Linked DNA regions of Macaca mulatta. The protein of the gene in region 2 interacts with the protein of the main gene of each other region in a pairwise test. Links are inferred from orthologs where the notes say so. Each region holds a gene or a part of one and is shown on either strand. Other genes may lie near its edges.

Evidence for each region.
Region 1: the proteins of FBLIM1 (region 2) and CUTA interact in binary tests that used the Homo sapiens proteins (3 or more experiments, as listed by UniProt). The two-hybrid records come from large-scale screens. The link is inferred for Macaca mulatta from reciprocal best matches to the Homo sapiens genes FBLIM1 and CUTA.

Annotation. Positions count from the first base shown.
Region 1 is NC_133409.1:148,861,600-148,865,083, forward strand, and holds CUTA (protein CutA), read left to right. Parts: upstream 1-1,410; 5' UTR 1,411-1,441; exon of another isoform or gene 1,442-1,514; 5' UTR 1,515-1,524; coding exon 1,525-1,566; exon of another isoform or gene 1,567-1,656; intron 1,657-1,828; coding exon 1,829-2,043; intron 2,044-2,213; coding exon 2,214-2,273; intron 2,274-2,381; coding exon 2,382-2,427; intron 2,428-2,554; coding exon 2,555-2,604; intron 2,605-2,743; coding exon 2,744-2,870; 3' UTR 2,871-2,962; downstream 2,963-3,484. Other genes in the region: PHF1 (PHD finger protein 1), read right to left, coding at 3,413-3,484. UniProt on the Homo sapiens protein: May form part of a complex of membrane proteins attached to acetylcholinesterase (AChE).
Region 2 is NC_133406.1:225,257,070-225,260,630, forward strand, and holds part of FBLIM1 (filamin-binding LIM protein 1), read right to left. Parts: intron 3,128-3,561; coding exon 2,949-3,127; intron 1,323-2,948; coding exon 1,205-1,322; intron 1-1,204. UniProt on the Homo sapiens protein: Serves as an anchoring site for cell-ECM adhesion proteins and filamin-containing actin filaments. Is implicated in cell shape modulation (spreading) and motility.

The DNA of each region.
Region 1 (3,484 bases), on a different chromosome or scaffold from region 2:
GAGACACTCCAGATTTAAGGGGAGATAGAGAGAGACCTCAGCTGGTCCAGAGATGGACAACTCAGAGACCCAAAATTCATGAAGAAGACTTCGAAAGACCTCAGAGTGCGACCACAGACCCTGAAACATAGAAACCCCCCAGACCAAAAACATAAAAGGAAACTCAGTCCTAAGAAAGATCTCCACACAAATACTGAAAGACCCCTCCGAAATCTGTCTCAGAGACAAACTCCAAACTCAAAGACAGAGATCTCAGGGAACCTCCCCTCCCCACTTCCCTGCCCTAGAACCTCCGAGAGGTAGAACACTGACGTCAGCCTGGGAAACTCCGAGGCATCCCCACCACCAGACCAATGACCTCAGACCTTGAAGGGAGGGGAAATATTGGGTGGGGGCAGTGGCAAGAGCTTTTTTCTCTGCGCCTCCTCCCACCTCTCTGCCTCTCACTGGCCCCTCTCTCCATTTTTGGGTCACAGGATGTGCTTGGGCCCCAGGGAAGTTATGTAGGGCAGGTCCTGGCTCCTCAGGGGATGGGTTAGGGAAAGGAGACCCAAGGCTGAGAGGTGGACCAATCCTGGGGAGTGGAATAGGCAGGGAAGAGGGGACAGAAGGACCATCACCACTGTCCCCATCCTGCAGCCCTCGTTCTCCTTCCCTCTGATTCAGTAGTCTGTCTCAAGCTTTGGGTTTTCAATTAAGATGGCTAGGCCCCATTTTCACCATCCTCTACCCCATTTACAGGATCTCGCTCTGTTTTAAAATGCATCTTTCCTCACCTAGCTATTGTCGTGCCATGCCCATGCCTGCCTAATCACTCCCCGCTACGCAGGGACAGCGGGCTTCTAGATCACCGTTGTTCATTCCCAAACCCAGGCACATCTCTGTCCCAACTAAAATGGCAGGGGGCGCTCTCTTAACCCCTGAGGTTGGGGTGAAGGGTCTTTCTCAGACCCTGCCACACCTTAAGGCCTCGGAAACAGTGCAGGGGAGGTTAGGCACATTGTGGGGTTTAAGAATGATTCCCCACACCACAGCCTGACGCATCGACTATGCGGGGTCTCCGGCCCCCCCCCTTTCCTGGAGCCAGCACTCGCCTCACGTGGCCTGCAGGGCTGGCCTGTGATTGGCCACTTGGCGTCACTCACTGAGTGCCGCCGCCGGAGAGGACCGGCCCCCTCACGTGACAGTGGAACGCCGCAGCGGCTCTCCTCAGCCAGCAAGTGGTAGTTTCGGGTTCACACGGAAACGGGCGTGCCATTTCCGCGCACGTCTGCAGATCCAGCGGTCGATTGGTCAAGTCTCCCATCGCTCCGCCCTCATCAGGAGGCGGGCAAACCGCGCCACGAGAGGGCCAGGATTGGCTGGCTCTGGAAGCGCGGGTGGTCCCCCTTCTACTGTCACATGGTGCGCGCTGTTTTCTTATCACGTGGCTGCCACCCAGGTAAGAGGCCGCTCTTCCTGGGGTTGTTTCTCCGTGTGACGTGTGGCCTCTGAGATCAACTCTCCTCTACCAGCGTAGGCCGCATGAGTAGGGGGCGGGCTCCCGCGGTCCTGCTCGGCGGAGTGGTGAGTGACCGGCCCCGTCCCGCCCCTTCCGGTCCTCGAAGCCTCGACCGCTACCTGCACCCCAAATCCCAGAGGTTGGCCCCCTGAGGTGTGAGTGAAATGAGCCTTTGCTTTACTTTTCCAAGTTTCTCTCTCACCTTCAGGGGCATTCTTCTTCGGGGTACATCAGAGGGAGGGCAGAGCCTGAGTAAGCAGAGGCTTCCCTGGGTGTAATTTCCTGGGCTGTTGGTGAGGAGAGATCGAATTCGCCTCCTGCTCTCAGGCTTCTCTGCTCCTGTCTTTTGTTTGGATGCCGGCGCTGCTGCCTGTGGCCTCCCGCCTTTTGTTGCTACCCCGAGCCCTGCTGACCATGGCCTCTGGAAGCCCTCCGACCCAGCCCTCGCCAGCCTCGGATTCCGGCTCCGGCTACGTTCCGGGCTCGGTGTCTGCAGCCTTTGTCACTTGCCCCAACGAGAAGGTCGCCAAGGAGATCGCCAGGTAGGGACCTCGATGTTCAGCGAGAAAGGATGATCATGAAGGGAGAGTTGGGGGTGGGGCAGAAGAGTGCCGCTTTCTCCTCTCTTCAGCTCTGCAAGCCTGTCTCTGGGCTGCCAGTACAAAAACTGGGGTCATGGGGCACTCTGAATGGGACTGTCTCTTCACTCCAGGGCTGTGGTGGAGAAGCGCCTAGCAGCCTGCGTCAACCTCATCCCTCAGATTACATCCATGTGAGTCATAGGAGTTGGGGGGTTAACCTAACTGTAGGAGCTGACTGGGAACCTCTTTCCTGGGGGAAATTCTTTGCTCCTCACAACTCTCCCCCTCTGACCTTTCAGCTATGAGTGGAAAGGGAAGATCGAGGAAGACAGTGAGGTGCTGATGGTGAGAAACATTTCCCCCACCCAACAAAATTTCCCCAATCCCTGACCCCTTTAGCCCTTACCCCTCTTCTGAGAAACTGAACTCAGTCCCACTCCTTGATTCAACCATGTTTATCTTTGTCCCTTAGATGATTAAAACCCAAAGTTCCTTGGTCCCGGCTTTGACAGATTTTGTTCGGTGAGAACTTTGAGATGTATGGGGTGACGGTGTGTACTGTGGGGGTGTACTGTGGGGATGGGACTTGCTTGCGCGAGGGAGTGGCTTCCTTTAGGTCAATCTTTGAGTAATCCCCTTCCCCCACCCACCTATCTTGTAGTTCTGTGCACCCTTACGAAGTGGCTGAGGTAATTGCATTGCCTGTGGAACAGGGGAACTTTCCATACCTGCAGTGGGTGCGCCAGGTCACAGAGTCAGTTTCTGACTCCAGCACAGCCCTGCCATGATGAGCCCTGTTCCTGCCGTGATCCCCTTGATACTCAATGCCTTCTGACTTCCAGGTGATGACCGGGCCCCCAATAAATCCTGTCTTTAGGTCTTTCTGCCTTTTGCCTGTTTTTTCCTTGTCATGTATGCAAATTTGTTGGGAGAATATAAGTGCTTCTAGTCCCTGTATTCTGTACATCTTTCAGAATGACTCCGAGCTGCTAGATTTATTTCTCTTTATTTCAATCATACAGAGTCCGGGATCCCTTATCATCCTCCCTCCTCAGTCTCTGCCCCCAGGGGTTAAATAATTTTAAAAAATATTTAAAAAGCTGTAACAAAATAACATCAAAGGAAATGGGAAGGATGGAGGGGTCAGGAATCATGAAGGAAGGTAGAGAAGAGAGCCTCTTCCCCACCCCCCACTCTTGGATTCCAGCCTGGGCAGTAGGGAGAACTATCCCCTATCTCTCCAGGTACATCCCAGCTGTAGGTGAGGTCAGAGGTCAGGGTATGAAAGTGCCGGTGTGTGTGAATGGGGAGGTGGGCAGAGGCAAGCTGTTCAGAAGATGCCCCCTCCTCCCCACTCAACCAGGTACTGCACAGAGCCATCAGGCCGTACTCTCCGAGCAAG
Region 2 (3,561 bases):
CATGCACTGTGCCCCACCTCCCCACAGAGAAGGCCAGCCCACAGGCAGCAAAAATGAAGCAAACACATAAAAAAGGCAGAGCCAAGAGATGGAAAAGAGGCTGGGAGCGTTGGCTCATGCCTGTAATCCCAGCACATTGGGAGGTGGAGTGGACGGATCACCTGAGACCCACCTGGCCAACATGGTGAAACCCCATCTCTACTAAAAATACAGAAACTAGCCAGGTGCGGTGGTGCATGCCTGTAATTCTAGCTACTTGGGAGGCTGAGGCAGGAGAATTGCTGAACCCAAAAGGCGGAGGTTGCAGTGAGCTGAGATCATACCACTTCACTCCAGCCTGGCAACAAAAGTAAGACTATCTTCAAAAAAAAAAAAAAGAAAGAAAGAAAGAAAAGAAAGAAAAGAAAGAAGAAAGAAAGAAAGAAAGAAAGGAAGGAAGGAAGGAAGGAAGGAAGGAAGGAAGGAAGGAAGGAAGGAAGGAAAGGAAGGAAAGGAAAGAAAGGAAAGAAAGGAAAGAAAGGAAAGAAAGGAAAGAAAGGAAAGAAAGGAAAGAAAGGAAAGAAAGGAAAGAAAGGAAAGAAAGGAAGAAAGAAAGAAAGATGGAGAGAGTCCTGATGCCATCACTCAATACCATCAGTGTTCCCACCACCATTAGCCAACAGATTCTCTTTTTTGTAGAAAGCAACTTGAGTTTGGTTTCTTTTTTTTTTTTTTTTTGAGACAGAGTCTTGCTCTGTCACCCAGGCTGGAGTGCAGTGGCGCGATCTCGGCTCACTGCAAGCTCCGCCTCCCAGGTTCATGCCATTCTCCTGCCTCAGCCTCCCGAGTAGCTGGGACTACAGGCGCCCGCCACCGCGCCCGGCTGATTTTTTTTTGTATTTTTGGTAGAGACGGGGTTTCACCGTGTTAGCCAGGATGGTCTCAATCTCCTGACCTCGTGATCCACCCGCCTCGGCCTCCCAAAGTGCTGGGATTACAGGCGTGAGCCACCGCGCCCAGCCCCGAGTTTGGTTTCTTATCATTAACGCGAAGAGTTGATAATAGACTATAGTTGTATTTCCAGCATCTTTTGTTTCTCCTACTGGACAGTGAGCAATTTGAGAGTATAGCCCCCACCCTGACCTGTCCCCATGTCCAAGCAACCCAGCCAAGGGCCTGGCAATGCAGCGATGGAATATTATTAAACCACCTGGGCTCTACTCACCTCACACCTATAGCAATTTTCATGGAAGTTTCTTCCCATGCACTCGATTTTGAAGGCATCTTTCCCATCCCGAGGAATGATGGGATTTTCACAGATGCTGCAGACGGGGGCGAATTTCCTAGAAGCAAAGAAACCCATGCTTGGGAGGCGTTCATGCCACAACCACATAAATTAATTAGCTGTCAGAACTCGGGCTGGCTGGTGTTCACCTCCTGAGCAATTTCAGTCCCGTTGCTATGGGACTGCACTAGCAGCTATAAGCAGAGATGTCTATTTCTTCCTGGCAGGAGCAGGTGGAGAGACCTGTGTAATGAGACCTGGTTTCCCAGCATCACTGGAGATTGCCTGAATTGAGAACTGTGTTCAGTGGGGCTGGGACCCATCTCATCTGTCTTTTTTTTTTTTTTTGAGACGGAGTTTTTTGGCTCTTGTCACCCAGGCTGGAGTGCAATGGCACAATCTCCGCTCACTGCAACCTCCGCCTCCCAGGTTCAAGCGATTCTCCTACCTCAGCCTCCTGAGCAGCTGGGACTACAGGCAGGCGCTACTATGCCCAGCTAATTTTTGCATTTTGAGTAGCGACCACAGGGTTTCACCATGTTGGTCAGGCTGGTCTTGAACTCCTGACCTCGTGATCCGAACCACCTTGGCCTCCCAAAGTGCTGGGATTACAGGTGTGAGCCGCTGTGCCCAGCCAGTACTTCTTTCTTAAGAGGCACATCTGTCTCTCCCCTTGAGTGGTGAGCAACTCATGGGCAGGGATTGAGTCCAACAGATGTGTCCCCACTGCGTCATTCAGCTCCAAGGGCAGACCTAGAGGTCTGGGGTTTCAGAGCAGGGCCCAAAAGTCAGGTCCTTGGGGATGTGCATACTTACCAAGAGTTTCAATACTTACCTGTGGAGAGACTTTGGGTACTTAGCTGCTGTGTGCCTTGGTTGGTAAAACAGAACCCTTAATAGTACCTGCCTGTGACATTATATATATTTTTTAGTTTTTTGCTTTGTTTTGCTTGAGATGGAGTCTAGCTCTGTCGCCCAGGCTGGAGTGCAGTGGCACGATCTCAGCTCACTGTAAGCTCCGCCTTCCGGGTTCACGCCATTCTCCTGCCTCGGCCTCCTGAGTAGCTGGGACTACAGGCGCCCGCCACCAGGCCTGGCTAATTTTTTTTGTATTGTTAGTAGAGATGGGGTTTCACCGTGTTAGCTAGGATGGTCTCAATCTCCTGAACTCGTGATCCACCCTCCTCAGTCTCCCAAAATGCTGGGATTATGGGCATGAGCACTGTGCCCAGTCCAGCCCTGTAATATTCTTTTTTTTTTTTTTTTTGAGACGGAGTCTCGCTCTGTCGCCCAGGCTGGAGTGTAGTGACCGGATCTCAGCTCACTGCAAGCTCCGCCTCCCGGGTTCACGCCATTCTCCTGCCTCAGCCTCCTGAGTAGCTGGGACTACAGGCGCCCGCCACCTCGCCCGGCTAGTTTTTTTTGTATTTTTTAGTAGAGACGGGGTTTCACCATGTTAGCCAGGATGGTCTCGATCTCCTGACCTCGTGATCCACCCGTCTCGGCCTCCCAAAGTGCTGGGATTACAGGCTTGAGCCACCGCGCCCGGCCTGTAATATTCTTTATAATAAACCAGTAGACAGGAAACTCTGGCCCAGCACCCAGGACTCAGGCTCGGCTCCTTCATCCTGCTTGGATCTCACCCTGTCCCTGCACCCCACCTGGTGCCAAACCCCTCTCGTACCTGTAGAAGTCATCCAGGCAGTACACCTCGTTCTGGCTGCCCAGGGCAAAGCTCTCATCCCCAATGCACCGGGCGCAGGTCACACACGTGAAGCAGGAGGGGTGGAAGGCCTGGCCCAGGGCCCTGATGATGTGGTCCTGGACCACTTCGCCACACTTGCCGCACTTCTCCAACGTGTCCTGGGACAGAGGCCACTGTCAGAGTCATCCACGGCACACCCAGTCCAACCCACAAGGGTCTCTTCTTCTGGGAGGCTGCCCTCGGGGGCCCAGGAATTGGGAAGTACAGGAGAGGCCTGCAGACAACCTGTAACTATTGCCCAAAACCTCCACCATTGCTTATAACAAATTGAGCTTAGCCTTGCATCCTTGGCTTACTGTAAGGAATACTGCCCTGATGCCCTGATGCTATGACTGCATTTCTTGTTACTGGGATATGTTTAAGGTCAGGGTTCAAAGAGCTCATAGGAGAAACTTCGCTTAAACCTCAGGGTCAGGAAAAGGAATTCTCAGGAGAATTGGGTGCTTTTATCATATAGACAAGAAGCCTTGAAATTCTTTCCCTTTTCCATTTGGCCACTTGGAAGCTCAGAGCCAAATTCCACATTTCATAT